2 linked regions of the Neodiprion lecontei genome follow. The main gene of each other region encodes a partner of the protein of the gene in region 2 in a complex. Links are inferred from orthologs where the notes say so. Each region holds a gene or a part of one and is shown on either strand. Other genes may lie near its edges.

Evidence for each region.
Region 1: RNA-binding protein spenito (region 2) and N6-adenosine-methyltransferase subunit METTL3 share a complex: the UniProt entries of both Drosophila melanogaster proteins name them as parts of the WMM complex. The link is inferred for Neodiprion lecontei from reciprocal best matches to the Drosophila melanogaster genes nito and Mettl3.

The regions. Positions count from the first base shown.
Region 1 is NC_060264.1:30,605,620-30,621,550, forward strand, and holds N6-adenosine-methyltransferase subunit METTL3, read right to left. Parts: upstream 8,538-15,931; 5' UTR 8,342-8,537; exon of another isoform or gene 8,189-8,341; 5' UTR 8,115-8,188; coding exon 7,973-8,114; intron 7,899-7,972; coding exon 7,706-7,898; intron 7,624-7,705; coding exon 7,093-7,623; intron 6,654-7,092; coding exon 5,861-6,653; 3' UTR 4,919-5,860; downstream 1-4,918. Other genes in the region: uncharacterized protein LOC107228079, read right to left, coding at 1-335; neuroepithelial cell-transforming gene 1 protein, read left to right, coding at 1,715-1,780, 1,906-2,153, 2,373-2,736, 2,972-3,400, 3,482-3,988; prolyl 3-hydroxylase 1, read right to left, coding at 9,037-9,123, 9,224-9,360, 9,451-9,576, 9,698-10,022, 10,181-10,436, 10,857-11,197. UniProt on the Drosophila melanogaster protein: Catalytic component of the WMM complex, a complex that mediates N6-methyladenosine (m6A) methylation of mRNAs, a modification that plays a role in the efficiency of mRNA splicing and is required for sex determination.
Region 2 is NC_060260.1:35,827,913-35,845,280, reverse strand, and holds RNA-binding protein spenito, read right to left. Parts: upstream 8,908-17,368; 5' UTR 8,532-8,907; coding exon 8,407-8,531; intron 7,879-8,406; coding exon 5,691-7,878; 3' UTR 4,050-5,690; downstream 1-4,049. Other genes in the region: ubiA prenyltransferase domain-containing protein 1 homolog, read right to left, coding at 1-634; tubulin beta chain, read left to right, coding at 10,181-10,237, 10,461-10,769, 10,843-10,961, 11,063-11,280, 11,406-11,578, 11,702-12,015, 12,097-12,259; lysozyme, read left to right, coding at 13,945-14,077, 14,311-14,402, 14,495-14,558, 14,742-14,881. UniProt on the Drosophila melanogaster protein: RNA-binding protein that acts as an associated component of the WMM complex, a complex that mediates N6-methyladenosine (m6A) methylation of mRNAs. M6a modification plays a role in the efficiency of mRNA splicing and is required for sex determination.

The sequences.
Region 1 (15,931 bases), on a different chromosome or scaffold from region 2:
GAATATCGTAGGGTTCGAATGTCGTGGTCTTTCACTGATCTGGTAACTGCAAAGCCATTCTTGTCAAATATTCTTAAGAAAGGGTGAAACTTCACCCGACTACTACCAATTCTTGCCCAGTTGTTTAAATTTTCGGTAATCTCATCATGAGACGCTTGTCTCCGGTAATTTTTATTTCTCTTTCTTACCGTCCTGTTGTATTTTTTTCTCTTAGCGATGTAACGGTGAGTCGGTTTTTCAATTTTTACTTGAGAAAAACCTTCCCGTTTGACGTCATATTCCGGTGATAATTTTCCCGTATCACAGGAATTTCTTACACTGTATTCATTTTCCATATCGTTTTCACTTTCTGTATAATTTGCAAGAATCGAGGCATTGCTCACTGTCGAATCTTGGTCATTATTGTATCTATGACAACGATCATCGTCCTCAAGGTCCAGAGTGTTGTACAAGTAGAGTAAGCATTTTTCAATTTTCGAAAGATGGTACAAATTTAGCGAGTTATCGATATTTGATGTACATCGATCGATTTCGTTTAACGATGAATCGTGAAGCGACAAACTCGATACCTCGCTGTCGATAGATCGACTGCCAATAATCTGATGTCCCGTCATGCTTTTGACAAATTCACAGTTTATGGTATATTTTCAAAAATTCACATATGGACTTTTCGTGTCTTTTAGATCATTTACAGGCCTAGGTATTACGAATTAGGGGCTTATCAATATTCACAGATCGTGTGCACGTCGCCGATTAGTTTGTAATACGTATATAACCACTATGTCGCAGTTTTCCTCTTCGTCTCAATAGAATAATCTGGAATTTTTTCGCGTTCGAATTATCATGACGATTGCTTAGAATTCGTAAAAAAATAATGATGCTTTAAAATGTTTCTTATGTATCTTTGACGGCGAAAAATGTTCACTCTCTTTATTTGTCTTCTGTTTTCGTTGTTTTTGTTTAATTATGTATTATCTCCAGGGAAATAATTGTGTTGACAACCGAGAGCTTTGCTATTACATAATGATAACCATGGTGAAAAAAAAAACGAAAGTACTTACGAAAATGCAATAGATTTTACAATCTTACCGTCGTAAAGTCCTTTCAACAACACGTCTTTTTGATTATCATCACGGGCGAAAATCTAACGCTATCGTAAATATATAATTAGATGTTTGCTAGAACAAATTCGTGAACACGACTGATTAAGGGCGGAAATAATTGAAGGCAGAGAAAACAAAATGAGTTTAATGCTTGGCGTGTAATGTTTCATTGTTTTCGCAATCGCTGCACTCGTTCGCTTTCAATGCTCGAATTTCGAAATCTCGATACTACTCCGTCTATGTTATTTTCACAGACCGTGGACTCGTGTCCAATTTTCATCGTCGATGAAAACTCTGCTTTACGACTTTGAGCGACACAACACAAATCTGCTTGTTACCGTGACATATTCGAATTCACATCATAAATGGCGTCTGACGATTTGTGTCAATGACCGCCGAACGATGTGTCTTATCCTAAATTGTCTCGACCTATCATAAAAAATAATTAAAAACACATTACCTACTCGGAACTTAATTAGTTCTAGTTAAAAACAACAGCCATCCGTTGGATATCAGTTTACCGCCAACCGAAAGTTAGGTTATTTTAACTAATCATTATCCGACCGAATTCTTGCTACTCGAATTTCCCTCAGTGAGTTGGCGGCAGTGAGATGGAAGAGGATCGCGATACGTCAATTAAAGATCACTTTCCAGAACCTCAGAAGAGATTTTGGATGGTAACGTATTCGTTATAGTTTTTGCTGTTCTGAATCGCTTCTCCAAAATCAGCTCATCAACTCTTCTACGTCGTACTCACTCACACCTGAAAGTATCCACCCTAATGTCAATCGTACCATTCCAGCGATCTAGGAAGCGTAGAAATAGCGATGCGGCCAGTGTCAGTTCGATGGATATATCAATGGGGTCTGATAGTATCAAGAAGAAAAAAAGACGCAGAATTACCGAAGTCGCATCGAGCTTCTTTTCCTCTTCCTCCTCATCTCTGACACCCAGCAAATTTGGAAGTGTTCTTCAAAGATCGTTCAGCTCTCAAGTAACCGATCTTTCTCTCCTTGGAGAGGAGGTTGATTCGGGAAAGACAAAAAAAAGGTAAGGAACTCGAGAATGTGTCACAGAGTTTAAATTCACATGAATCCAATGTAATTTTAAAACACGATTAATGAAACTTTTGTATTTGCCTTGAAGCTTTGATTCTTTAAACTTTGGTTTTTGATATCTGAAAATAATCCATCACTGATATCAAACACAAAAGATGTCCGTCTTCTAATTTTGTTTCTCACATATATGACCGTCCGGGTTTACGCACAGATCAAAAGTAACCGCGGAGCGACTGGATCAGCTGGCCATCCGTAGCTGGATTGTGGATATTGCGGAAGGGAAATCCAGCGGGCACCTGGATTTGAGCTTGAGTAGAAGAGAAGTGAAACGTCAAGAGGCGATCTATGAATTATTCTGCGGGGAGGATGTGTTGTTGCGGGACCTTGATAATCTCAGAGAATTCTATTACGAGCCTTTGCTACGAAGCGATATCCTGACTCCAGGTGAACTCGCCACACTATTTGGAGACATTTCCAGCCTTGTAGACCTCCACAAAAAGCTTAGAGACGAACTGGTCTGTCTTCGAGACGAGTCGGGTTTCACGGATGCTGTTGGAACCATTTTAATCAGCTGGGTTCGTTCTTATTGCACACCAAATTGTTTGGCTCTTAATTTAAGAATATAAAAATTGGTATAATAGTCTTGATATGATTCAAAAACGATACGTATAGTGAATCAAGCATTTTCTCATAAGATATTCTCCAGGGTCTTATGCAAGAAAATCAGAATCTACAGATTTCGAATTCAATTTCACACAAAGTTGGTGCAACCATTTATTTACACTTACTTCATTCTTTCTCTTATTTTAGTTACCAAGTCTCGCCGAGCGCTACGTAGATCGTTGCAAGGCGCAGGTGTGGGCGAGACACTTGCTTGAGGCAAAACGCGCAAATAATAAACGTTTCCAAGAATTTCTGAAGAAAAGAACAAGTGTTCCACGGGCCGTTGACTTGTGGACATACTTGGACGTTCCGAGATCAAGGGTCGTCAAGTATCCTATCCTTGTTAATGAAATCCTCAGGCACACCCCGTGCAATCATCCTGATCAGACAGCGCTGAGAAAAGTGAGTGATATACTGTCCAAGTTACTTATAGAAATCGACGAAGCCATGGGAAATTCGGAGTGCAAGCTAGCCCAGAATAAAATCAACCCCTCGCCAGTTTGCGATCCTCATAAAGTCATACAAAATGCTGTGGAAGTCATTACCGAGGGGCAGTTGAGAGATGCTAAAGGAACGGTGCGCTCAATTGAGTTAATTTTCTTTCTTTAATTCCCTTAGCACGCTGATGTTCTAACCGAAAGTAATTTTGTTTTGCAGAAACTGCATTGCTTCTTGTTTGATAACTGCTTTGTACTGGCTCGTCCAGCGAGGAGACCAGGCAGAAAGTGTAACCCATGTTTCCCTGTCGTATTACGAGATCAGTTAAGGGTACAGTTTGAAATCGAGGCGGGTGAAAAAATTCATACTACCTCATTCAAGGTTGCAGAACACACGCTTAATGCTGACGATGAGCATGCAAAACGGCATTGGATTGAGTCTTTTCGTAGGCTAAATACTATTTCTACAAATGGAAAAAGAAATCACGATGGAAATATTATTGTAACTGAGGAAAAGAACAAAAAAAGGAAAGAAAAAGAGAATCGAAATGAAAATGAGAATGAGAATGAGGACGTGGATAAAATGAGTGAAATCAGCGAAAAGTCCCCGATAACGAAAAGTACAAGGAAACTGAAGTCTGTCGGAGATTTGTGCAGCAGTCATTTTCCGATTTCTCTTAGAAAAAGCCTTCTCAGGGATAAAAGAAACAGCATCAGCCTAGTGTGAAGAGTACTATGATTTATTCATATATAACTACTATATTCATATACATCCATTGCGTTAAGAAATTATACATATTTTTTTAGTCGCATGGTTTCACAGTCATTTTTGTAATTAACGTATCACGGATGATCTGGTGTTTCATTTTCCGGCAACTAAAAAAAAACAAATTAAATCCATTCACAGTGCTATCGTTGTCGGCGTTAATACCTATGAAAAAATGATTACGTAAGGAAATTTCAATCGATTGAGACGATAAAACAAATGCGGTTATCCGAATGGAGTCCAAATGTGTGATATTTAATAACCACGGATAATAACTAGCGCTGAATTGAATATATTTTTCAAAATTCATCCCTTTTAAATATATATTGCGTATTCGGATGTAACAACTACGCGAATCGCTCGGTTTGATAAATTGCGATTAGTAATTAATTCGAAGCCATAAATTGGTAAACCAGGACTAAGTGTGATCGATGCTTGAGAGAAATTGCAAAAAAATTTAAATTTTTCATTTTCTGACAAGTATCTATTTTATAATACAACGATTTTTTTTTTGATTTTTCTCTCATATTTTTTAACGTTATGGCCATCCATTATTTTTATCCGGATTTCAGAGTTTTAATATTAGGTTCAAATATTTTGACTTTTTGAGTTTTTATCCATTCATTTTTATACTTTTTATCTTATGCGACATCTGGTCATAGCAAATTTGTAATTTTCAATCACATCCTGGCCAGCTTCAAGAAACTGCTAACAGAATTCACGGTGTACTATCAATTTTGTGTTCTCTATGCCGCGTAACTTTTTTTGAACTCATATATTGCATAGACAATACAAATAATCGAAAGACAATGCAAATTAATTCATTTTGTGATAAATAATGCGCATTCATTTTTGATATAATTGGATCAGTCATACTTTTTTATGATCCAACTAATGTAAATATATATATTCCTGCATTTATACATAGAGAACTTCGGACAAACGCGGTGTTTTATGATATTAGGTTACGACTCGTGAAGCGTAGGTTTTATTTTCTTATACTTTCTCTTTAGTTAATAATTATTTTTAAATTCGACGAGAGATCTTTTAGGCGACGATAAGACGCACGTTTTACTCAACACCAGCAAAGTTTGCAGGGTGTTTTAATGCTGATGATCCGAATTCGCTGAATTACTTCGGAATCTTCTCCAAGAATAAAAAACAAAGAAAGCTACTTTTCATTTAGTGAAAATTAAATTTGAACCTTTCATTCGTTTGTGTGAAAAATCTGTCAATTTATTTAAATATTTACTTTAAGAATCACATCAATCAGAAAGGGAGATCACGTGGCTTATTCTATAATTCTGCATTTTCAAAACTGCAATTATAGAATAAAGCTGTAAATGTTTCTTGTTCTTTTCTATCCATTGGAACTTTCAGAGATAATCTGCAGCTGTGGCATATCCTTGGTATTTAGACACTCTGTCTCTTTTCCAATATTGTTTCAGATCAGTAATTTATCAACTTTGTTGTAAATAGATATTGCTATTGCTAATTTGGGAACAACTATTATAATAATGATTTATATATTTAAAGAAAAAGTGACACAAAAAAGCAAGTACAAATATCGTACCTACTGTATCGTTGTAGTGGCATTGATTAAAAAATAGAACAAATGAATATTTTTAGTATTTTTTTTATTAAAAATTTTTTCTGTTTGCTCAATTCCAGCACGTCTGAATTTTTGAAATCACCATTTTGAAACTTAAAAATCACAAAATATTTGGTCAAGTTGTAATTCCTATCTTATTGTTAATAATCCGTCCGCTGTCAAGATTCTCAAGGTTGCGATGTTGAAAATTTTGTTCTAAATATACAGAATATTAAATATCGCTAAGATTTACTCGGCTTCATCGAATTTCCATCGGGATAGCGTTTCTTAAAAGCTTTAATCAGTTGCGGGTCAATTAATCGCACACCGTCGACCTGATTTCCCAGAGTAATCCAGTTCGGTTGAACGTTGTGCGGTCTTCCGAATAACTCGATCTTTCTGGTTCCCGGGCTCATTCTTTCTATAATCCCATAAATTTCGTCGGGTTTATGACTCGTCGCCCTCACTTCGGCCACGATGACATCACTGTCCAGACCTCTGTTTACCCTGGGAAATCCCTTCATACCAACCAGACAGTGCTCTTTCCCATGATTGAGCCAGTGACCGGTTCTCCCAGTTCTTATAATGCGCTGAAGTTGATTAGTCTTCACCCAAATAATCTCGTCCACTCTGTCGTAGCCCCATAACTGGAGGCATTCTCTGCCTAATTCCATGGCTCGTCCGGTCACCCAAAGAAATAGGAGACCCTCATCTTGCAGGGTAGGGATTCCGAGTTGCCGCATTTCGTCATCCGACATTGTCCCGTAGGGAAGCTCCATATGGATATCCCAAGGAGGGTCCGCCATTATGACTGCGAACTTTCCCAGCACTGTCATATCCAGATATCTCAGGTCGCACTGGATCCACTGAGGAGGATACAGTGTCAGGTCCGATGCTCCCGTTGAGCCATTATTATTGCTCACTGGTTTTGGATCTAGAGCAGTTGTTCTGGAAGTATTTCCACAAGTCGTTGTGTCTGCTTCGCCCTGATCTTTAGGTTGCGCAGTGGGACCGTCAACTTCATAGTGAACGTACCTTGAAAACAGATGATTTAAAAAGTTTTGGTTTCTGTATTCTGGAATATTGTTAGAATTATTTCGAAATTTCGAAAGCCCATTATTTTGTACTTAAAGAATATTTTCAAAGGTACGTGATGACCAATATTTAAGTGTTTTGTGAGCAACTTTGAAGATAGTAATTTAGTTTAGAAGTACTTTGTGATACGCAATGAAATCCAGTGAACTAATCTCTACTGATTTTACCCAACTTCAATTCGGTTTCTAAATCATTAAATTTATCGACTCGATCATTAGTTTTCCGAGTTTGGTAAACCTGAAACATGCACAAGAGAAAACAAAAAAAAAATGAAAACAAATAGAGCTGAACTTATCTAAACTTATCAACGAATTTCACAGGAATCTATCACCATTGATGAATCTATAAAACGGGGAAAAGAAATAAAGTCAATTATTACTTGCAAGTGTCCATGTGGAAGCAAGTATTCAAAAAGCTACAGTCTCCCAAGCTTTCATCAGTATGACTTTGAAGGATTTTCTTGAAATGCAATTTCTTGCACTTCTCATTGAACGCTTGCCCAGACCCTGGCTGACTGTTGCCATTGAGCTTGGAGCAATCTGTACGAGTACCATGTGGACAAAATTCCATAACTTGGGCACCACCCTGAGACCTAAAACGTTCGGCCAATGACTTCTCCTTCGATGTTTGTTTTGACAAAAGGTCCAGTATCTGTTCCCCGACTTTTTTACTCTCCTTTTCTCTTATTGTAGGCATAGATATCAGTGACATGATGTCCTCAGTATTCTTCTTATCGAGCTTTGTCTGTTTTTCGGGTGGACTTTCCTCCTCGATTGCGGCAGGCAGTGAAACCCCCAGTTTTTCCTCTTCAACGATGTTTTCAGTATGTAACAACTCTGCCTGGGAATTCGATTCCGCAATAGACAGAATTGTATATCCGACGACATCGTTCTCTGTAATTTCCTTGATCCTGCGGATGAAATGTCTTAAAATATTGCGAGATTACGTGCTTTGTTTATTCGCATAAAAAACTTTTCTCATTAAGTAAATACCTGATAATGTCTTGTGCAGATAATTTTTCCAAGAGCTTGTTGATATCTGAAAATGATATGTCAATGCTGAGAGCTTTTCTGAGTTGATCTGTGAGATCAGTCGATGTGATTGGTAAGCTGGAGATACACTGATGCAAAATTCGCAAGACATCTTGTTCGTATTCAACCGGTTCAGATTTGTTATTAGTCGTGTCTGAAATTGAAATTAGAGGCTTGAAACAGAAATACGAGACTGAAAGTAATGGAAACAACAAATTAAACAGCTACCAATCACAGATGATTCTGTAGCTGGTGGGGTCGAAGTGAGAGTGAATAATTCGTGTCTCTCTCGTTTACGTTTTTGCAATTTTTCTCTTAGACTGTTCCTCTTTATCTTTATCGCCTGAATTTCCTCAAATGCATCAGACATCTTTCATCTCTTTTTCTTTCCTTATCACATACGAAGGTTATGATTTCGAACAACAACAACTAAGCCTCGATTTCCTAGGAAAAATAAAGTAAAAAAAAAAAATATTACCGAAACTTTTACTGGCTCATAAATATACGAAAATGTAGGAACGAGAAAATCGGATGCGGTATTTTTAGGTTAGGTATAGGTTATGTTTATTTGCGAAGTTGTAATTGGCTATCTATTACGCATTGTAGGAAACTAGGAATCAACTTTCGCAGTGTATCAAAAGTTTGGTATCGCCGTAAATGTATTTTGTAATATTTCTCGAATAAATCTTATTATCAACTGAATTGCTTGTGAATTTTTTCCCGGGAGTATAAATATTCAAGCGGGTGAACTCGGCGTTGCCAGCTTCACTTGGGATGCAAAATGTCTGATCGATATCCGTGGATAGAAAACTTTTGAAAGTAAAAAATTTATTCGTGGTTAAAGAAAATTCGACAATTTTATGGGATTACTTGGATTTTCAAATGTGCGACGGATTCGGCAAAATCTGATCAGGATTTGTAAAATTAAAATAAAATAGATCGATTTGCGTGTAAGTGAAAAACGGTTTAATTCGAAAATTATAAAATTCCGAATCAGAAGAAATAGTTTGTTTCAAAGTAAAATTAATTACTTATAGTTTTTCTCGGGTTTGTGATTTCCACTATTTGATTCAATCCGAAATTCCTAATAATCATGTAATCAGTTTCAATTCTACAATTAAAAGACAGGTGATTTGCGCTCTGAGCTTGAAGAAGCTTAATTATTTACGTATATTTATTAATGCATGTAAACGAATGTATGCATAAAATTAATTGTAAAAAAGTAAACTGCATTTTGTTCGGTTCAGTTTTTTGCAGAATTAAATTGTTCTTGGACGTGCGTTTTGTTCAGTTCAATTTTTTGCAGAATTAAATTGTTCTTGTATGTAGAGCAGAATGCGCAGTTCGTATTCCTGCCTCTTGAAGTACGACTCGGCTTCCTGCGAAAAAAAGAAATAAAAGTTCGCAAATCAATTTATTTGATCCTTAGTTATTCTCAAAGACCGTGCGTTCCTGACTCTAATAATGATAATTAATTACCTCGCGTGGCTTGAAGTATTCTTCTTTGACTTCCGGTAGTTCCATAAAATATCTCTTGTTTCTCAAAACGGTCTCATCGGTCGGTATGAAAAGCAAAAAGCTTTCAACCGCGGCACACGCTTCTTTAAATTTACCAACTAAAACGGTTTTTAAACAAGCAATTTAAACTATGAGCAATCCACAATGGAAACACAAGTCTATAAGGGAAACTATTTCCTAGATCTTACTTTTGAAATATGCGTACTGCAAATAATGATAGTGAGATATGAGCAAGTCGTGGCGCTGTTCCCCGTTGAGTTTATTTAATGCGTAGGAACAGCTGCGCTTGCATTTTAGTCCGAAAGCAAAGTGATCTAGAAAATAAAATTGGGTTTACATAACGTTTAAATTCTATAAGACAAGAATTTCCAAAGTTTCAAATGTAATTCGCGAATTGCCAATCCGTATTAGGAATGAAAATTCGGATTAACTCACTCGCAATGGACATGGTAAAGTCTGGAAGCCATCCCTGGTCGAATGGACCTTCGCAATACAATCTGCAATCCTCTTCAGCTTTCATGTAAGCCTTAAGAGAATTTTCAAGCTGCTCAATAACCTCCGGATAATTTTCTTCGTAATACGCTATAACTCCATCTTTGTACATTGCTTGGAATGGGTCACTTTCCAAATCTACTATATCCTCTTGAACGACTTCGGGAAGATCTATGTAGAACTGCATGTTCCTCAAGGTTTGATTGTCCGTCGGGTGAATGGTCAAAAACGTGAAAATGGCATTCGCCGCATCCTGGTACCGCTTCGTCTATAACGCGCGTAAAAAAACAAACATATTATCTGTGATGCGACACGAGATATAATGAAATGACATGGTGGGATTTCGTTTCGGCACCAAAGTTTTTTTTCCAACAATTCTCATATTTGAAATCCGTTTTTACTTCATCAGCAGTAAATTGTACATACCTTGTAATAGCAAATGTGCAGAAACTCGTAGGCCTTACGTTCAATGTACTTCCTCTCCACATGAACGGGCAACTGTCTATCATTGTCTTTATTCCTCACGATCTTCTTGCATTTCATCAAACACAACGTTTCCCTGACTTTTCTTTCGAAGAAGTGCATATCTTCTATGTCGTACGGAAATATTGGTTCAACATCGTTAACTTCCGCTCGGCACTGTCTTCGGCAATCAGCAACCGTCTTTTTGTGCATTTTGTAGCTGCGGCGCACCATGTATTGCATTAATAAACATCGATAATTACCTACTAACTTATAATTAACTAAAAGCCCATTGCAGATCCGTACACGAATATTTACAAATACTTATTATGGAAAATGCTACCGCTAACGCGAACTTTTTAGTAGAGCTCATCGAGACCTTTTAAATTCTTGAACCCAACTTTCGTCTATCTGTCAAAGTTTAGTCAGCGTTCGCATAAGTGTGCGATCCTGTTCCAACTTAGCTTACAAACATCGTTGTATCTTAAAACCCGACCAGACGTTGTAGCTATCCACAGAAATAAAAATGATCAAAAACGGTTCGGTAGTTCTCGAATTATAAGGGAACATACTTGCAGCCAGACAAAGAGACGTTGGGTTTTATGTTATATTGTGTAGACAAGATAAAACTGTGTTGAACCTGTTAAGGGCTTTGTGGAAGTCGTCGATGCACCCTTGCCAGTCATCGTTCAGATACGACTCGACACCCGTTTCGAAAAGATTATCAAGCTTATTTGGATCCTCCTCGGTTTTACTCCCATTTACCGGTCTGTCAGTGTCCTGCTTACCGGCAACATGCGCCGATTCTGTAGCGATCTTTTCGGAGGGAAGATCCTGGAGAATCTCATCCTGAACCACGGAAACGGTTTCCTGACCGTCTACGTCATTGCTCAGCTCGTCTGATGCTGCAGACGTGGCGATTGCAACGGTGAAGAAAATCGTGATCAGGGCGAAAACAACGTATTGATCAAAAGCCCGCATAACGAGAATATGTAGCTCGTCAAGATCGACTAAAAACTGAGAATGATCTCGGCACTATTTGATCTTTGAACCCTGATTGCGATAAAGAACCCACACTGAAAACGAGATTGAAGTTAGTGACGTTATGGTATCGAAACATTGGGGGCAATCACTACACTAAGATTTTGAATTATGAGTGTGTTTTGTTTTGTTACAGTTTACTAAATTTCAAACAATTCCAAACTTGCTTAATAACGGTTTTTCCTCAGCATGAATCGTTACGATAACGTTACTAACTTCAATATGATCACTGAAAGCCGTCGACGCTATGCGATCATCTCTGACGCTTCGTGGTCACCGCACATATACAAATGCTGCCGTTTCTTCAGTCGTGTGTGGGCGAAATGTAGTTTCAGCCCACAAGCAGCATATACGCCATGACTTTACAATATATCGCGTCAGAGGACGAGATGAGAAATGTTCTCAACTCCGCATACTTGTGAGCTAAATCAGTTGTAAGAGATACGCGAACGCTACGGAGATAAACCCGGTGTAGCGTTCTTCACGCATTGTCAGATTACGTAATTACCGTCTGCAGAAAAATGATTACTACCAAGAAAAAATGTATTCAGGATTTCCGCGCATATTCGAACTAAATTCTATCTTGTTGCAAGAACAATAAAATTGTCCCAAAAGTATTAAAAGACTCGGCAAGTTCACATTACAACAAAATGTTTGAAAAATCTCAACAAACCGTCGTCTTGTTGATTTTCATCGGTTCAATTGAATTCTATACTATTCCTTTTTTTTCCATCAACTTTCGGTTTGATATAATTTCTTGTCTTTTCAAAAATTCATCGCGGGGACTTGGAACCATTTTGAAAAAACATTTTGCAATATTTACAAAATGATATCGAACTTGTTTTTTAAATCTTCACAAAAATATTTCGAAATTAATAATTAAAATTGCAAAATGACCAGCAAATGCCTAAGGCATTCATAATAATGCGATTGTAAATATTAGTGCAGGGTGTAACTGTATCAGAGGTCTGTGGGAGCACTGAAAATATCTGGCATACACGTTTACGCTCTAAGTAATACTTTATTTAAAAGAATTATTTTGCATATCATCTTTGAAAGTTAGTATTTAACGTACCAACGCTTATTTAATTCTGACTATACGTTGTGGTCTTTGACGCGGTTCACAACGATCAATCCAATATAATTTGATAGAAAAAAAAATGAACAATTATTATGCAGCTTAGCTTCACGCATATCAACAATAATGCTAATAATTATAATGATAGTAATAATAAGTTGTGTAATCAATATGAATTTCCACCCCATGATATTTTATCCCTCCCTTTTATTTCCTTGTCAAAATTTCATACCATTCAATTGTTTACACGTCACAACCGGATTTTCTTAAACAATTTTTTGCATCACAAAAGCGGACGAGTAACTCGTCCTGCCTACACACGTACCTACAGAGAATTAAAGTAAAATATCGTTTTTCCAATAGAAAGCAACAACGAACATATATTACACATATTATTATACACATGAGACCTAGGGATTGATTGATTTCTTTATCAATTAATAAAAAGTCCCAATTCTTTCAATTAAGAATCGAAAAATCATTCTAGTTTCTCGATTAATTCAATCGATAGTTTTTATAAAAACCATTTTACTCGATGGATTGATTTAGTCAAATGTTCGAATTAGGTGAAATTTCGTTAATCAAACAACCGATCGATCAATCAATCGGAAATTTTTCCAAATACTGATTAGCCGAAAATCGGTAATCCATTTTTCGTTTGATCGATTGATCGTAGCATCCAGGTATCCATCAAATGCATACAACGTATACGTATATTATACTTCTATAATCGCACGTCTGTAGGATGCAGGAGCTCTGATCAAGGCAATTTTGTGTTACAATTTTTTTTTTCTTCTCACTTAAAAATATAATGGAAATCACACCAAAATTGAAACTAGGTATGCTTAGTATACTATTAGTACATTACTATAAATATAACAACGAGAAATATCGATCTACAACTATTATTATACGACGGAATACCTTAATAAGTAATTATAGTAAATCAGAAGAAAGAAGAAAAAAAAAAGAACTAAACAAAGCACACGTATAACGTCAGTTAATACTTTAGCCTCCAAGTATAATTATTCAATATAATTCGAATTATCGAAACAAACTAATTGCATGTGTGACAATAACTACATGTATACTATGTATACAGTATATGACTATTTTCAATCTAATTAACTATTAGCGAACGTGTTAAGCCGTACATTTCATGTAGAATTTTATTATAAATACGCTATTATATAGGTATACAGATCGTCCCCGTGCCTAACAAAATCAACGGTAATAAGAATAGTAGTTAAATCTGTAAAAAGAGGAAAATCAAAACAAACTATCGAATGTGGAAGAAATAAAATCACCGCAGGATTTCTACCCTTTTCCAATTATATGATAGCATAGATGAGGAAACCCTTCTTTTCCACGTTAAAAAGAAGAAAAGGTCGTTTTTTTTTTTTTTTATTATTTTTTTTTTATTTTCATTTATTCAATTTTCACACCGACAACAGAAAAGAAAATCTACTAATCATCACGATAAATCGGTCAACGACAGGAAAAGAAAATCTGCACTGCCTAAATTAACTATCCAACGATTTTCACAATCGGAATATGAATAATACTGAAACGCGTAGGTGGATTATAACAAATTAGATAAAAAAAAGTGCAGAATTGGTGGGTTATAACGGATAACCGGTTTAATTATTCTAAAGCGAGTTAGCTTCAAAAATTACAGTCACAAACGGCGCGGAATTACATTTTCCCTTTTGTTTCTGTTATGCCCTTCAAGTGTCATTATTTCTTTATTTTTTATTTTATTTTATTTTTTTTTATTTTTTTTATTTTTCATTTTTTCAATGCGTTTTTTAAAACTCCGACGCCCACTTACACAAGCGTGCACTTGATCGTTGAAAAAATGGCGATTGATATGTAATTTCATATATATGTATACAGAGATTATAATCAATTTATATAGTGAAAGTTTTTCCTGCACATATTACGTTAGGACAGAACGACCTAAAAAATGTTGTTAAATATATAGTGAGTGAACGTAACCGGAATTATTTGAAAATGTGAACATTGATTATGATCATGTAAAGACTTGTTATTTTTGATCGAATGTTTTTTTTTTTTTTTTTTAATATAGTTTATTCTAATCTTAATTAATTCGCTTTTTACGTTGTTTTTTTTTTCTTTCATCAGTATTATATTCAAGTTCTCGACGAGCGATTATTATTATTATTATTATTATTAGTATACGTAATCTGATGAAACGTGTTCAAAGTTAAATATTAACCAGTTATTTATCAACATATACAGAGCGTAAAATTGTATATTAATAATTTTTAATACGTAGAGCTAAGGAACACCGCGGATTATAAATTTACGGCTGAAGCAGCCTCGAACGATTTCACGTGTCGTGTATTTGTTATTATATTTATTATAATACATATAGCACGTGCATGTGTTTGTATAATAGTTGTAAATATATTTGTGTATATTTGTATACGTTATAAAATCGATACCGCACTAGTGCGGTCTATGGTAATTATTTTTCAGAGAGATGAAAAAGAGAAAAATAAGAAAGAAAAATACACAAATCTAAAATCGCCATAATGAAAATCTCATCATTTCAAAATCTATTCTCTAACTACGATGTAAACCTCTCTACAATGTCTCTCAAACTACGACTTGCAACAATTGTATACTCGAAAACTGAGGCAGTTTTTATTCTTTTTATTTAAGCACGTGTAATGTGAACCTATTACCGTATTGTTCCTAGTATAAGACTACCACAAATTTTTAGACAATATTTCAGAATGTTTTTCTCAGTTACCTGCACGTAAGACGAGGACAATTTTGGCGGGTTCTGTCAACGACAAAAAACCTCGGCTTATATTCGGAACAATATACGATATATACGCGATACATCGTGAAAGTAGTTCTAACGTATAGCGAAATATTTAATTTTCCGATTACAGAAACCTCCACTGGTTATTTTTGATTATGTTTCAATGTTATTATACGCGTTATTACGATTATTATTTTTTGTAAGTTGTTTGTTCTATCACACGTAACAAAGTACAATGAGAGTAGGGATTACTTAACGATATTCTGAGGAGAAAAGAGAATAAGCTGCGTACGACTCTTAAACGATAAATCTATTTCGTATACATGAACCTGCGTGAATTGAAAGGGGACAAAGAAAAGTCTAGTACAAAGTTACATCCTTACGCGGATGTATCCACACTTAGGTTCGGTCTGAATCCAAGTAATTTATCTTGATCGATTTTTAATAAAGTGATCTGAATAAGTGTCACGATAATTTTTTTTGCACCGTTGCTGTTCCATTTTCGCTTCTTATTTTTATTTTCATATGTTATTATTAATATAATTATTATTTTGTTTTTTCTAAACGCTTTGAGCTTACGAAACTATGTAAAATCGTAGTTAATCATACATCGACGAAATGGACGAAAAACGATAACCATGCTAACTATACAGAAAATATTTCGAACACGATTAAATATTTTTTATTCTTTGCTTTTCCGTGTTTTGTTCGTCAAGTTTCAGATATTTTTTTTTTTTTTTTTAAATTTTTTTTTTTTATTCGAACGAATTATTCCAACTTCCTAATAGACTCGAGTGTTTTT
Region 2 (17,368 bases):
CATAATACATTGTGCCCCATTCAACGTATCCAGTCTGTGCCATAAATGCAAATAAAACGGATATCGGGCCAAATATGACTAAGATCAAAACATCACCTAGAGCTATGTATTTCAGGCCGATACCACCGGTATACAAAAACGAGGATGACAAACCTCCGAAATAAACAAGAGCCAGATGCTCCATTTTAGCAGGTGAAATGGCAGTAAGTAAAATAAAGCCTAAGCACCCTGCGGCATATAAGATTGCACCCAAAGATACGAGCTCATCTTTAGATAAAATATGATCGACCAATATTCGGTCGTCGCTTTTTCGACTGTCCACACCTTTGACATAGTCAAAGTATGTGTTTACAACGTTACCTGCCCCGTGCACCGAGACGATCGTGAATAAAGTAAGTACAAGTGATATCCAATTAAAGCTCGTTAATCCTATTAATCGATAGGCAAGTGCCGATCCAAGGAGAGTTGGCATCAAAGAAGCACTTAATGACCATGGCCTAAGGGCCAAGACGTAAGAGGACAATTTCATTAAAGGAGAATCCAGCGTTGATGATGTGGAGCTGGCGCCATCGAAGCTGGGTGATGGAGGGGTTGGATCCATCTCCGCATGGGGATTTTCGACTCCAATCAACATTTTGCTCAACGTTCTGGTATCCTAATAATAACGGAAAATTTGCAACAGGTTAATCGGTGAAAAATACTATTTGGAATTAGACGTTTTGTACATATCACCAGAAGACTATACCAATAAAATAGTTGAAAACTGTTTATTTTCTTCAATTTTTCAAGTTACGACAATAATTGTTGTCTTAAGAGAACTTTTAATCAGCTATGACCAATGATTCCTTACGGTACTTATACTTTTGATATACTACACATGCAAATTACACGTCGTCCATAATGCGATTAATATTCATGTTAAGGTATCATGCGAATGATTTCTATAGTAAGTATTTCATAGAAATATGTATGAAAATGCTATTCACCTGTGATACTTGAAGATCGGTAAAAGTTAGGTTACAGTGATGTCCATACTTCCGCTGCGAGCATTAAACATCCGTTTCAAAATACATCGGTATAATTTGATCTGTTATTCACATATGGGAACACATTTATCCTTCAGTCGTTTGACATTTCTGTGCGTACATTTAAAAAAAATTCAAGCAATGTCTCAAGACTCGAACACACTGGTGACGTGTTGCAGCGCTTACCACGCAACCCCGTCTATCTGCCATATAACGAACTAATCATTTTCGGTTCTCTGGTTTTGGATCTCTTCCAGAGAGAAATCTCTTCTAGGCTCTGATGAAACGATGCCTCCAACGCTCCATCGTTTCCTGTGCTTTCAAACAAATTAAACTCAAAGAACGGCGTAAAGCGTATTTCCGGTCGGTAAGGGTAGTTGATCGGCAGATTGACGTCAGACTTTATATTTAAAACACGACTCAGCACTATTCGGGAGATTTTTAATGGAAATTACTATATTTTTCGTATTCAACACGTAAAAAATGTCTCACCTCATTAAAATCAATTTGCAAAACTGTACAATGATTAACTTGCAATGCCACGTAAGGGGTCTTCTACTCAAGTAATCATGGTACTAATATCGTTCGAAATGATTTCATACTCTCCGAAATCACACTGAAATCAGCAATATTAAAATAAAATTCTACTTTGTAATGATTGGTAGTCATGAGAAAACGAAATTATATGAAATCTTAGAAAACGTAACTAATCATGAAATATTTTAATCATGGTGTCATTATTTTCTCAGTGAAACACGCCTTGATGTGACGAGTATCGGCGATGATAATTCTTCAGTCAACGATACGTTTAGTCGACTTTAATGCAGAGTACCGACGACTTTGCCTGTAGTAACGGCTTTCACGGAGGACTGACATATATTCTCCAATCAACGACTGACATCAGTCGGTACTAAAGGTATAAAATCATGCAAAATTCCAAAAATCTAAATTTCGGGAAAAAATCGTCATTTTGGTAAGTCATTGTAAATAATCGCGCAATCACATTTATTTAATCATGACGCAGGATTTTCAAGCAAAAAAAACTATCAGCGAAATTCGACACATCGAACGATTGTTCAAATTGTCAATTTCCGTTAGATGTGAACGTATTCATTTTTTTTTCTACGAGCCAAATAGAACGTTCGGTACCGTCGATTTTTACAACCGATTTGATGGCATATTCTATGACAGCACAGAACATTAGTTACCGAAAATTGAACAATTGAACACGTTCTTTCACACTTTTATGTTTGTATATAAAAAATCACGTTTCTATTTCAGATCTTTGTACAGAATTAAAAACAGAAACTCGAGAAATGGGTTTGCGTCATGAGTGTAAAAAATCGCTGAACTATTATAAGAAATGTTTACAATCATAGTATAGCTGATAGTGTAAACATGTTAAACTTGTAGGTGCGTCCTTTTATGTTAGCTTTTTCTGAATAACGATAACAGGATTAGTGGGTATTTTTGTTTATGTACATCAAAAAATGCTTTATTTATGCAAAGATTGTAGATCATACAACATCAATCTTCATTTGTAGTTCGAGCATTCATTAAAAGCTTCTGATGACATCTAAGTCCGCTGGATTTGGCAGCATTGTTTAGAAATCTGGAACATAAAAAAATATCTCCCGGCGACCCAACTTACCGTACAATCCAAAAAATCTGGCTGAACCATTATTAAGCTACGATCAGTATGTGGTTGAGGAACAAGATCCTTAAGTATCTCTGAGAGGCAAAAACCATAATACTTCTACGATCCAGCACTATTAAAATTTCTGGTCTCACTTCAATCTTATTTTTTTTTATTTTTATGTGGAATTGAAAATCATGCGATGATTTCTGCCTCTGAAAGATATTAAGGCCAGAATACCTGGAAAGCGGTCAAAAATCTGAAAAAGAGAACACCTCACCAACTTGCTATTGAACTAGAGAACCACTAAACTCACTTCACTAGTGCAACATGCAAATTTTCTGGACTTTCGTTTTATTTTGAGGAAGTTGTGCACTGAACTTCCAGCCTTAACAACAATCGTGTCAATACGACGAACTAACAATAGTCAATCTTTTTCTCTCTCCTTTAGTCTTTCCTTTTTACAGTTTCATTTTCCTCAAAGATGAGTAAGGAAGAAAGCGTAAATTTTAAACAATATGATTTCTTTCACTATATTGATAACTTGGGTACTTGGAGAGCAGTGTCGAAAACTTTTTACTTGGAGAACTTAGCACCCAGAGTTCCAAAACTATGAAATTAGCAACGATCTTCGAAAAGCCAGTTTATAATATTTTCTTCTTTACCAATAGAAACTTTTTTATTTTAATGTAAATGATGGAAAAAAAAAAATAAACAAAAACTTAGACAAATTAATCACAAGCCACATGATCACTAAAGCACAATTATCTCTCTGGATTTGCAATATGATGACTCAGAACCAATATTTCGCAACTACTTTGTTTAGAACAAGAAATAAACTGGCACAAGCCACTGGTTACACTGAGATCATTAGTTTCTTTTTGTTTTTGACAAAACTCGTATTTTCTTTTTCCATCTGTCATGAGATTGAGATCGATCAGCGTATTAAAACATTGTCGAATAACAAACCACAACACCAACTTCACGACCACTGAACTAAAATCAAAGAAAAGCCGACAGAAAAAAATGGAGATAAAAAAACGACCAAAGAACAACTATGTTCTTCTCTAAGCACAAGCATGCATTGTTTTATCAACCGAATAGTTTGTTAATTTTGGCGAACTCTGTTTTAAAACTTTGAATATCCTAGCATAACTCGAAACTTCCATTTCCTTCTTTCTTTCTTTCGCAAACTTGATTTTTTGTTTATGAACAAACAATCACAGACGTAACTCAGCTATTGATAATTTTCAACCACTAATTGAACTAAACTCATTTCAACTTGAACTTGATGGGTGGGCATATTTTTTTTTGACATATCTAAGAAATTAAACACAATCAATAGTTTTGTCTGCAATCGGCTCTATTTTTTCATTTCATTTCTTTTCTTTTCAACACCAGATACACTTTACCACCGCACCTTAGTTCGCCTCCGAGTGCGATTTGGACTTTCTCATATCTCAGATGTTCTGAGGGTTCGATTTCAAGATCGATGTTATTTTCATACCTTCATGATAACACCCTCGGAGGCGAGAACACAAGCACTGTTTTACATCACTGTACACAATTGGAGATTTCTGTAGTTTCTTTTTTTAATACCACCAAACACAGTCCTTTATGGTAAAGTTCACAGATTTCTTAACATGTTGCCAATGATTCTCGCGGCATTAGACGAAGTTTTTTTTTAGGGTTTTAGAAGAGATTTTGCTGTTCATTTTTCCCCACGGCCACTCAATCACTGTCCATGTTAACGAAATTCAATATCATTTTCACAGATAATTTATAGCACAAACACTTAAATCTTATGCATCTAAAATCTAAATCATATAAAAGTAAATTAACTGAATTTAATATTTTCATTATACGATGTGACCGTTTGATATTCTGTAAATTTAACAATAAACTAGTAGTTAGTTGTTGACCAGTCCTTTCGCATTTTGTATAAGAATAACAATGATCATTATTTACAGAAATCGCGATAAAGAAAAAAGTATATTAATGCGTGAGGTAAGAAATACTTTTGCCATTATTTCTCAGTTTGCAGACACCTTACTTTAAAAAATTTTCATCAATTAATGTAATTTGCATCCCTTCATAAGTATATGTATATATTTATATTTATATATACGCGTGTATATATAAATCCTAAGACGTTTATGCACTGCAGCAAAATTCGTACAATCACAAATGTGAAAGAACTGTGTACATGATAATTAACTGAGTATGTATACTAATTAGAATAGGTTCACTACAATTAAGTTATGTAATAGATTATGATTCACCATTATATCATATGCCATAACGGTCCAACGTTTATGACTCGGATTAAGAGAAAAAAAAAGTTATGCAGAACATTACTAAAATAATGTTTCATCTTCATAAAAATAAGTATTCCATTTTTAAATCAATCTTCGGAAGAACTTTGCAACTTTTCAATGTACTGTTTTGTTATCAGAGCGCTTACCTCGTGAAGCTATATCTAACATTTCGTAACCATAAGTTATTATTTCCATGCTTAATACATGTACTTCTTCTAACAGCCTTGTCAGAACTTTCAATTCTTCTGACCACAGCAGTCACTTGATATCAACATATTATTATGTCCTGGTATTTGGCTATTGCATACCCCCTTGGACGTGGTTTCGTCAATTTTTACAATTTGGCTGATTCTAAAAATGAACCGATAAATTTTGGGCTTCTGAAAAATGAAGCTATACAAGTTCCAGATTTTGTTACTCATTAGTTGAATAATTAAAATCAAATAATTCTGCAAGAGCTTTGTTTCGGGGAAAAAAAAAAAGATGTGCACAATCAGATGTAATATAGTGTGATTAATTTGAGACAATCTAGAAACACTGATCTGCTAAATACTCTGTGTATAGACCATCTGTACGTTAATCGTAATTAGTTACTTTCCTTAAAATTCAACCAGAAATTGAGGAAATCAGCCAAATTTTTGACCGAGTAATGTAATAGTATTGTAGTATTCAGCACGTTTACCTTTAATAAACCTTATGAGTAAGCGTAACTTAGGCACTGCCGCCTTTCACCACAACGATAACTAAGTGATCCTCTTTCAAACCCTCCTCGCTAAGGCTGGGACAAGTTCTTTTCAAAAGTTCGGTCGAAAAGGCGCACGGCGGGAAGGCATACAAGACTCCGGTTCCTTCTGTGTCTTTATTCAACAGAGATATTACTCCCGCAGCTTCTTTCTGCTTGAGATATGACACTAAGTTTCTTAGAGGTCGAGTTTGCACGTTTGCGTCATCGTTCGTGATGGTAGCGCTAGATCCGGCAAGACCTAAAAATATAGCATGTGAACTGGATGTTTGTATGCGTTTAGAAACGTCATCTAATTTTGGTTGGTCTAAACGAAGACGCTGCGTTATTCTCAGCATATGTTTCCCATCTTCATCCTTCATCAGCGCATCAATTATCTCTGTATCTCCATCTGTAAGGTGAAATTTAGCTGGAAATAAAGAATTTTTTAATATCAAAGCGCCTTGCCAAACCGCTATAGACTTTCGTGCAACTTCAGGAAGAGTTCGTGACGTAGACAGCATCCCTGTTCTAGCTGTTTCAGAATCGGAATCTGAATCCACAGGTCTTCTCCGCGGAGAACGTGATCTGGATCGATCTACACCTGGTTCCCGAGACAATGAGCGCCTCAAGCCCCTTGGTGATTCATATTCGAGCTCAGGTGGTGGCCGGCGGCTTGGCCAATCAGATTCTTCTCTCACATATCCCTCAGGATAAGCAGTTCCACGGTATCCCCCTCTGCCTCCTCCTCGTCTATCGTGCCATGGGGCACTTCCACGACCCCTGAATCCCCTTGGAGCATAAGCAAATTCACCTTCAGGAGCATAAGGATCGTACGGAGATTCATATTCCACTGGTCTTGGTCGAAACTCAGCTGCGTCTTCTGGGTACGGTCTAGGTTTGAACCCAAACCCGGGAGTAACATCAGCAAAATCAACCCTCAGTCTCCTATCTGGTCCCCCAAGCGGAAATCCTCTCATTTCTTTCACAGCAGCTTGGGCTGCGTCGATGGAATCATATAAAATGTATGCATTGCTATCTCCCTTGATGTAATCAATCTTTTTAATTGCCCCAAAACGATCAAACTCTCTCTCCAGCTGAGGCACGGATGTCCATGGCCCCAAACCGCCAACCCAGATACGAGTCGTTGGGGTAGCTTTACCATACCCAATTTTACACTGAAATTTACCAATGTACTGGCCAGATAATTCAACTTTGCATCTATGTGCCATATCCAAAGTCTGGAACCTGACAAAGGCATAAGCATTTCCAGTACCCGGTGGGGGTCTCTTGATATCGATGTCATCGACGATTCCATACTTGCTAAAGATTCTTCTCAGCTCTTCCTCGGTAATATTTATCTCCAAATTACCGGCAAACAAGGTTCGAGTCGCCAGTGGATCATCCTCAGGTGAAACATGATGCAAATAGTTTGGAAACTTGTCTTTCTTATTTTCAATTCTCTCAAAACCGTGAACAGGATGACGAATCATCATGTGTCTGGGTGGTCCATAATGATGCGGAGGACCAGGGTGAACATGTGGTGGTCCATGGTGTAGTGGTGGACGAACAAATTCGTGATGAGGAGGTGGAATTGTTTCTCTTCTGAGCTCCCTGTGAGGTGGAACTCCAACTGGTGGTCCGTAAACTCGTTCGTATCGTTCAATCGGTCTGTGCCTCTCTGTGGGCCCAGGTGACCTGGCATAGTAACGTTCGTAATCTGGGGGAGTGATGGATCTGGGTCGTCGGTAAGATTCGGGTCTTTCATAAACAGGTTCAACCAAGGCAAGCTTGTCGTATAAAATAATTCTTGGTTTTGCATGTTTCGCGTCTCTCGCATCCTCGGAACTTCTGAAGCAAACATAAGCAACTCGCTCGTCCAATTCATGAGAGATTCGTATGGAAAAGTCACCAAATTTCTTATACTCCCGGTAAAGGGTATCTTTTATTACTTCGTCGCTTGCTTTTGGATGTATCGAACTCACGCAGAGGACCTTGTAGCTGTACGGACGCTCAGGCGGTATCTCTCTGGGTGCTCGCATATACTCGTCCCTGTGAGAACTGGACTCAACGTATCTGGCATGAGAGGATGCTCTGGGAGGACTCGGACTCCGAGCCCCTCTAGAGCGCCGTCTGATTCGTTCCGGTGTAATCCTCTCATCGCTCGAATCATCGTATCTGAAAAAATGGGCAACATTTCTTGTCAAACAAGTAAAGAAAAATAGTTTAGAAAGAACGAGAATATTTTAATTATCAAAAAATTACGAAACTAATCACATATCGGGAATTCATACGAGGTTGAAAACAGCGCATGAGATTATACTCTTACTCGTCTAAGAAAAAAAAACCGATGCTTCACATCAGCAGACCGCAAGTGGAGGTTATATTGACCATAAATACTGTGGTCAACAAGCAGTAAATACCGGATTTATGCCACATTACCGTGAGATTAGGGCAATAAAATGTTGGTAAGGATTTCAGAGCAATGAACAGAAGTGTTGATTCCAGGGATAGTTGCGAATCATATTGGGTAGAAGCTCGATACTAAGAATTTAAAAACAGGCAAACCAGCGACTTCGTCGTGCGTAAGAAGTAAACTAGGGTCGTCGGACCGAATTGAAATTCAGTAAAACGTAGCAACTGACGAAGAGTGTAAAAAGAGTTTGGAATTTATGATACCCTGAGGTGGAACAGCATTTGGCATACCTTCCCATGGAGGATCTGGATCGCTTGACACGGGGCGGTGGAGTGTCCCGACTCGAGCTCCGTTTCATATTATTTCGGATTTTAACCGTTATTTTGTGGCGGTCGTCGCGCGGAATCCCAATCATCAACGCTGCAGAAAACCGTAAATAACTGACAAATAATTAATAAAATTATCCGCGTCAACTAAACGCACTCCACTCAACAGACGCACAGCAAAATGGCGGTGATCATTCGTCTCCTGACCGTGCCTTGTCGCGTCTTCCTCTCCCCCCTTTAGCGACGGCACAATGAATGTCGGCTAGTTTGGAGCACCGCTACTTGCCGCTTCCGTTTGTTTACGCTATGTTTTTAGATATAAGCGTGACACGTTAACGCTTAATTATTTTTTCATGACTATTTTAAAACTTGAAATTTTATTTCCCGCTCTTTGTTGCTTTAACAATCTTTGTAAATATCGCTAATAATTCTGATCTACTTGTCAACGCGTAGCCGTTCGTCGGCCGACGCCTTACTGGTTACTGGCCTTGCTGGCGTAAGATTACTAAGGAGTATAGTTGTACTGCATCGGTAACAATTCGATACCATTTTATGAATTCTAAAAGTTTATGATCTAAAATGTTTTTGGTAATGGGTAATTTTATCACCATGATACCATTTGAAAATCTAAGTCTGCGGATGAACGATCTTCTACGGAATTGTTAAGATGTCGGTAAGGTAGAATTACAATTAGCATTGACTAACATTAAATGAATCCTTGGTAAATACCTGTTAGACTGGTTGCAGCCTACAGAAGTACCCAGGCGTTTTCGGCGCTACCACGCATTTTCAAAAATAAGACTACGGTACTGCTTCAGTTGAAAATAAATGAAGAATCATTACTTGGATGAAGATGAGCCCAATGTGCTTACTTACTTCAGAATTATTACAGCACCTGCAAAAAAATGTCATTTAGAAATAACTGAACAATTGCCCAGTTTGGGGTTCGCACGAATTTTTCTGAACCGAGGGACAAATGATACTTTACCGTATCCTCATACTCGCAAGAAATGCCCCTATTTTTGGGAGGCTTTTTGAATCGCCGATCGTATAACGTGTGACTATGTAACTCGTTCAAACCAAAAGAAAAAAAAAAGAAAAAATTATCCACACATCTCATAGGTGCCTGAAGTTTGAATCGAACATTCAGATCTGTACGAATACAGAATTATTTGAAAATTCATGGCCCTAGAGAAATAACACCAACTACTCGGTAACAAGACCTTTTATATCTGATATTACAGTGGTAGCGTTCATAGTTTTGTGTATCTACATACCTATAGGTGTATTATGGTATTACCCAATTCTGCTCACTGCCCAATGTTTTGATTGGTTTCAATAACGATGACCTTTCGAGCAGATATAATCGACGCTACAGGGACGGCCTATTATACGTTTCTAGGCTCTGGGTATTTTGTCCCGTTCTTCCCGATGAACAAAGAATTATCGGATAGACAAATTCTTTTGATTCAAGCCTAAAAATTTAAAGCAATGCGATGTACAACATTGAGCAATTGATTGAAAATTTGAGTCACGTAACAATTATGAGGAACCCTATTCACGTTGATCGAAATAATTATTAGACGGCCCTGTATTAGGTATACGAGAGGTAAGTGACCAATAATGACAGCAGGCGTCTTGCAGTGGCAAAAAATCAACTTTCGTGACGGTTTCAATTCAGTCTGGCATCAGTTGATAACGAAAGTCATTCGAAGTATCATCGCCAAATTGAATCAAGATGAGAGAAATTGTTCACGTCCAGGTGGGCCAGTGTGGCAATCAAATCGGTGCACGAGTAAGTCTCTCTAATTCTAAGGGTTTTTTACTATTTTGATAAGATGAATTATATAAGGATCGTGCGAAAAATTTAGTCTCAGATCAAATTTCGTAGGACAAAATGGCTGATACGCGTTACATATAAGATTCGCACCTCGGTAAGATTCCAAAAAAAGGTGATGAGACTTTTGAGATATATGCAGCATATACATTATTTTTACTTTTTTCCAAACTTTGTGTAGTTTTGGCACATGATTTCGAACGAGCACGGAATAGATCAGACAGGAAAGTATGTTGGTAACGCGAGAGATCAATTGGATAGGATTAGTGTGTACTACAACGAAGCTGCAAAAAGCACATATGTTCCCAGGTCGATTCAAGTCGACCTGGAACCTGGAACCATGGACTCAGTGCGGTCGGGTGAATTTGGTAAAATTTTTCGGCCAGACAACTTTGTCTTCGGGCAAAGTGGTGCCGGTAACAACTGGGCTAAGGGTCACTACACAGAAGGGGCGGAGCTGGTTGACTCGGTTCTAGACGTCCTAAGAAAGGTAGGAAAATTATTGTCCGAACAATAGTCCAGCGGGTGATGATCGTAATACAGAAAATTACCTTGATATGCAGGAAGCTGAAGGATGCGACAGCCTTCAAGGCTTTCAACTGTGTCATTCCTTGGGGGGAGGAACCGGGTCCGGAATGGGGACCCTCATAATGTCGAAGGTCCGCGAAGACTTTCCCGACAGGTATGTTATACGTATCTAAAAATGATCGAATTTTCTCGTCAAATATACCGCTGCGGACATTGATATTTTTAGACACAATTTTACGGCACTTTGTTCAACAGGATCATGACGTCCTTCAGCGTAGTACCAAGTCCAAAAGTGTCGGACACCGTAGTCGAGCCATACAATGCCACTTTATCCGTTCACCAGCTCGTTGAAAATACGGATGAAACATTCTGCATTGATAACGAAGCACTGTACGATATTTGCTTCAGGACGCTGAAATTACCGTCGCCCACCTACTGTGACCTGAACCACCTTGTGTCCCTAACGATGTCTGGTGCGTAAGATATATTGTGGCAGCTGAGGGTACAATAATTACAGCATTGACGAATAATGGGGTTCACTGTGTCTTTAGAACCATCGTTCGATATGTACAATACAAAGATTTGCACATGTTTGTAGGAATTACCACCAGTCTGAGATTTCCGGGACAGTTGAATGCTGATCTTCGAAAGCTGGCTGTTAACATGGTACCGTTTCCCAGGCTGCACTTCTTCGTTCCAGGATTTGCTCCGTTGGTTGCGCGAAACAGTCAACAATACCAAGCTCTCTCCGTGCCTGAGTTAACGCAGCAGGTGAGGAGATCTCCATTTGAATCATAGGCAAATCATACAATGCTAATCAAGGATGCAGCCAGCTATAAATGTTTACAATTTTACTATACTCAACCTTCGATACATTTTACGATCACATGAAAGATGTTCGACGCGAAGAACATGATGGCAGCTTGCGATCCTCGCCACGGTAGATATCTTACAGTGGCGGCTATCTTCCGTGGAAGAATGTCGATGAAGGAAGTCGATCAACAAATGACAAATATACAGAATAAGAACAGCTCGTATTTCGTCGATTGGATTCCGAATAATATAAAAACAGCCGTCTGCGACATACCGCCTTGTGGCATGAAGATGTCGGGTACTTTTCTCGGGAACACCACTGCGATTCAGGAACTCTTCAAACGCATATCTGAACAGTTCACTTCCATGTTCCGACGAAAAGCGTTTTTACATTGGTGAGTTTATAGCGCACGTAGCAACCGCATGCCTGCATCGTCCCAGCAATGATTTTATACGACTGATTTTCATCATTCCAGGTACACCGGAGAAGGTATGGACGAGATGGAGTTTACAGAAGCAGAATCAAATATGAATGACATGGTTTCGGAGTATCAGCAGTACCAAGAAGTCTCTGCAGACGAGTCAGCGTTCGTGGACGACGAAGAGGTTGAAGGGGATGTAGAATTCAATGAAGACTAGTTTCATCCTGCGTGAAATTGATATGTAATTTTTGTTAAATTTTGATTACTTATTGTCTTTATTTTGCGGTGCAAATATAAACACATACCTGTATATGCCACTGATGGTGATGTATTGTAGTCGTACTCGTATTGTTCATATTTTGAATACGATTTCTCTGTTGCATGAAAAAGTGTCGATTGTTTAACAATAAAACGTCAAAAGCTCCTATTTTTGGTTCACCAAGAGACGATTAACCATTTTTGCTCTCATCTCCTCTCAATTTCTAAATTCCCATATCGATTTCAGATTGAAAGCTCGCGTGTGAGCTGATTCTGAAAGTGTTTCTCAGAGATTAGTACTGCACTTGCATTACACATACTTACAAAATGTTAAAAGAAACAATGATTTGTCAATTGTTTCTCGCAAAATCAGTATGTTAGGTTTTAGTGTGATGAAATGAAATGTGAGTGTATAATTCACGATGCTACGAATAAATGTGACACGTGTATATACATCATGGTTTATATTAACTTTTGTAGCGTTTTCCCAATAATCAATCAATAAGTGTATCAATGATCACCACGATTTCCTTCGGCACAAGTGATTGTTCGGAAACGAAAGTGTTATGGAAGCTGCTACGTTACAGGTAAACATAAACTCTATCATTGTTTCTCACATATCAGAATTTAATTTTAATGCTGAATGCACCAAGTCTTTGTAAATTGACAAAAATAGAAATATGCTTGCCACGAAGGTGAATATTGAAAAAATCATGTGTGTTCAAATCCATTCAGCAAGAAGAAAACACATAGGTATAGATTTTTTCTAAAATGCAAATACGAAATGCACATCGAAAAATCATCTTTATGTAACACAGTATATATGGTTTACGCGTCTTTGCCTGCGTTCCGAACGTCAAGTGATCGTTCCAGTGCTCTTTTTTGTGCTAGGCTATAATAAAATATTTGTAAACCACACTTTTGATACATAAAGTATCGACTGCACCATGGAGGCAACGTCTTTTTCGTCTCGCGTATTTGCAATATTCCTGCCGTATTTGCCTGCGACTCATATTGCAAACTTGCGCTCGGCGTAAAGAGACGTTGTTATACTTTACCTCCTTGGTACACAATCTACGATTATATATAAAAATTGTTTTTCACGGCTTTTAGACGTTGAAAAACAAATCATAAGATATTTTGTGGATATCATTTTGAAGACTTTTAGCTTTACGCTATCTGTGACCCTGCACAGATTCTTTCGGTCAAGGACTTCAATATCAAGACGGGGAATTACAGTTAGATTAATGGGCTGGGGGAAGTACCAATAAACATAAACTGTAATCGAATTTTTGCGTATAAATGCATGAATGATAAATCGAGGCATTTCAGCAACATTTGTATGTGCCGCGGGTTAATCAGTCGGACCGTCTGAATCAAAATTCAGTTTTTTTATTCGCCACTTACGACAATCTCGTTAATCTTAATTTTCAATCTTGGCTTATCTTCGCGCATATAGTAAGTACGCAGGCATAAATAGCAACAGGGCAATGGAATATTATCTCAGTTTAAAATAAGCTGTTGAATTATCATCGCGTGGGTCAGTATTGACCGTAACAGCATCCGACATCGGATTAAAATACATATACTAAATTTTCATCCCGTTTTTATTTGAAATCAGTTGCCCGAGTAAGCTTGGACATCATGAAAGCTTTATTCGTTGTATTGGCTCTACTTCTCGTCACTGTCTCTCACTGTACAGGAAAAACATTTACGCGGTGTGGATTAGCATTGGAATTAGACAGACAAGGCTTAGATCGTGGAAAAATGAATGATTGTGAGTATGACTGCCGTTTAATTACGTAACGGCATTTAACGCGTATTTCTATCACGTATTCATCTCTATCCTTAGTATTTTATACATAATATAACAGTTAGTTAACGAAAATTTCCGATGAAAAGTATGTGGTACCAAAAAGTTGCCATGGCTAAAGGAAAATCCATGTTGTGTATAATAATAACAAAATCACATGGCGATCTGGTTATTAACAATTAACATCAATTAAACAGGGGTTTGCTTGGTGGAAAAGGAAAGCGCGAGAAATACGTCAGCTATTGGCGGGCCGAATCGTAATGGCAGCTACGACTACGGATTATTTCAAGTAAAAATATAAAAAAGTTGACGAATTACGCCGCAAAGTTTGTCGAAATTGGCCAAATAGTTAAAATCTTTCTCTTTTTCATAAAATTACAGATTAACGGAAACATTTGGTGTTCATTGGGTGTCGCAGGGAGTGATTGCAACATAAAATGCGAAGGTGAGGTATAACTGCATGCATTGTTTAAGATTGAAAGTAGTACCGAAACAAATTTTGCAGTTTCGATGTTCTAATTTGAAAATTTATGCACGTTTCATTCATCCATTGTGCCAACTATTCAGGATTCCTGATATTATTCTGATCCACATTCATCCGCACTGATAAATTGTTGTACAAACACAGATTTACTCGACGACGATATAACCGATGACGTACGATGCGCTAAAAAGATTTATAGAAGACATAAATTCTACGCGTGGAATGGCTGGAAGAATGGCTGTTTGAACAAAGTTATTCCGGATGTTCATTACTGTTTCAATTGAGTATTTGAATGAAATTTTTTTACTTCATATTCTTGTAGATCGGAAAAAAATATTTTGGACGTATTTTTTATTTTTTCGATTGAATCAAAATTGCCATTAATATAACAGATTGAAAACTATAACATTGTGACGTCACCCATGCTAATATATATCTATATATATATATTAAAATCAGTGAAATTCAATCACCTATAACATGAAAAATTATCATTTTTAACGAAAAACAAAAAATACGTCCTCGTTATTTTGGCTTGCACTGCATTATGCACCCCTAAAATATGACAAAAAAATTTCATTCAAATACTCAATTGACCGATCGGAAATATAATATTTTGCATTAAGGTTCTATCAAAATAATTCTATAATTATACATCAATATTTTGTAACTTATGTTAAGATTATTAATAAAATGAAATAAGTAAATACGTCAGTATAGTTTTATGTATCTATAATTAATCTGTGAAATATAATATATTTGCGTAAGAGATTTAACGATCCTTTTTCTGTTACTAATAATACTAATTGTAAAAATAATATTTACCGTATCCAGAAGTCCAATACATATAATATTAACAGGATTTTGGAAATAATGCAAAAATATTTTTATACCCTAAAATGACTTTATTAACTCTTAACTTTACACGTGTTGAATATATATATATACTTGTCAGATCTATCTGTATACGTGTATGTATATTGTTTCAATATTTCACCATATATATTACCAACATCATATGATATAGGAGCAAAGTAAATTTGATAGATTGTCTACTTAAGATTTCATATTATAATTCCTTTAGCATTATATATAAGAAAAAATTTTAATTAGACACCCTATATAATCGATACAAAAGGTGCGTCTATACTTTTCTCAAGTATATTCATATACAATGTTGGTACTGACGAACGTATTACCGTGAAACCGTGTCATAAAAGCGTTTCCGAGAAACATAGGATTATTTTTAATAATTCCGGCCAATTATAGTATACAATTATATCATATACGCGATATCTTTATTCGTAATATATAATTTGTCGCGAAATTTCATATGCGAATTCATATACATATATGTCTTTGAATATCAATCGTAAGAATCGTTACAGCTCTGATATGACACAAAATAATTTCATACCAGCCTACATTATACAATTAGGAGACTGAGACATTTGTTCTATTGGCCAAAATCTACTATTGTCATTTATCCCAATGAGACAATTCGTTATTATATTGTATATAAAATTAGGCTACTAACCATAACATTGAAACTAGTTCACAAGACTACGTAACGTGTAAAGTCGTTAGCGGTAAAAAATGTCAAAAGAAAAAAAAAACTTCACATGAAATTCGTCGTTTGGTTTTTATGTAATTGTTCCTTTCTCTTTTCTTTGTCTTGTGAACCTCTGTTGTCCCCTTTGTTATATACGGACTTAGGATCAAACGGTGTTTTTGATCATTAGACCAAATATCTTTAGATCTGATTACTCAGATCAAGTATAGAAATACCACAATCACAATTTTTTTTTTTTTACAAATACAAGTTATGTCCTTCTATATTTTTAAAACGGCGATTCAAACACACCGACTCAAGTATTTTATGCACTTTTTGAAAGTTTAGTATATATATTTATATATACCATATATGTTTATATGATACGTAAGTTTTGTTTAATATAATATGATGTGGCGTTTGATAGATATGCATAAAAAGATGATATGAAATAAGAAGCAATGATATGAGAGTAACGCTTGTCTATCGCAGATTTTCCGTTGCACTTCGTACTGACAAGGGGAGTGTCAAACTTGGGAATCACAGATTTCCATCACTTTTATATATATTGTAGGGCAGGGTCCCCTCAATAAATATATAAAGCGGCAAGACGCCATTCGTTTTTATTATTGAGAAATTTCAACTCAAAGTTCTATATGTAACTTAAGTAGAAGGAACCTTTTTACCGGTTGCAGCAATAGTTCCGTGGCGTAGCGGTAACGCTCTTGCTTACTGAGCGACTTTATTTTTGATAATATTGATTACTTTGTTATTATAATTATTACAAATCCTATTTTTATCATTTTTTGTATTTTTTCCTAACTTAAAAATAAAAAAATAATTTATAGAAATATCAATTATTAATTATTTATTTTTGTATTAAATAATTTATAAAAAAAAAAAAAAAAAAAGTAACTCTAACGGAACTTGAACAGCCGTTCGGTCCCTCAGTAAGCAAGAGCGTTACCGCTACGCCACGGAACTATTGCTGCAACCGGTAAAACGGTTCCTTCTACTTAAGTTACATATAGAACTTTGAGTTGAAATTTCTCAATAATAAAAACGAATGGCGTCTTGCCGCTTTATATATTTATTGAGGGGACCCTGCCCTACAATATATATAAAAGTGATGGAAATCTGTGATTCCCAAGTTTGACACTCCCCTTGTGAGTATAAATTTAAAAAAACATTTGCACCGTCAATGACGTGAGTAAAACTG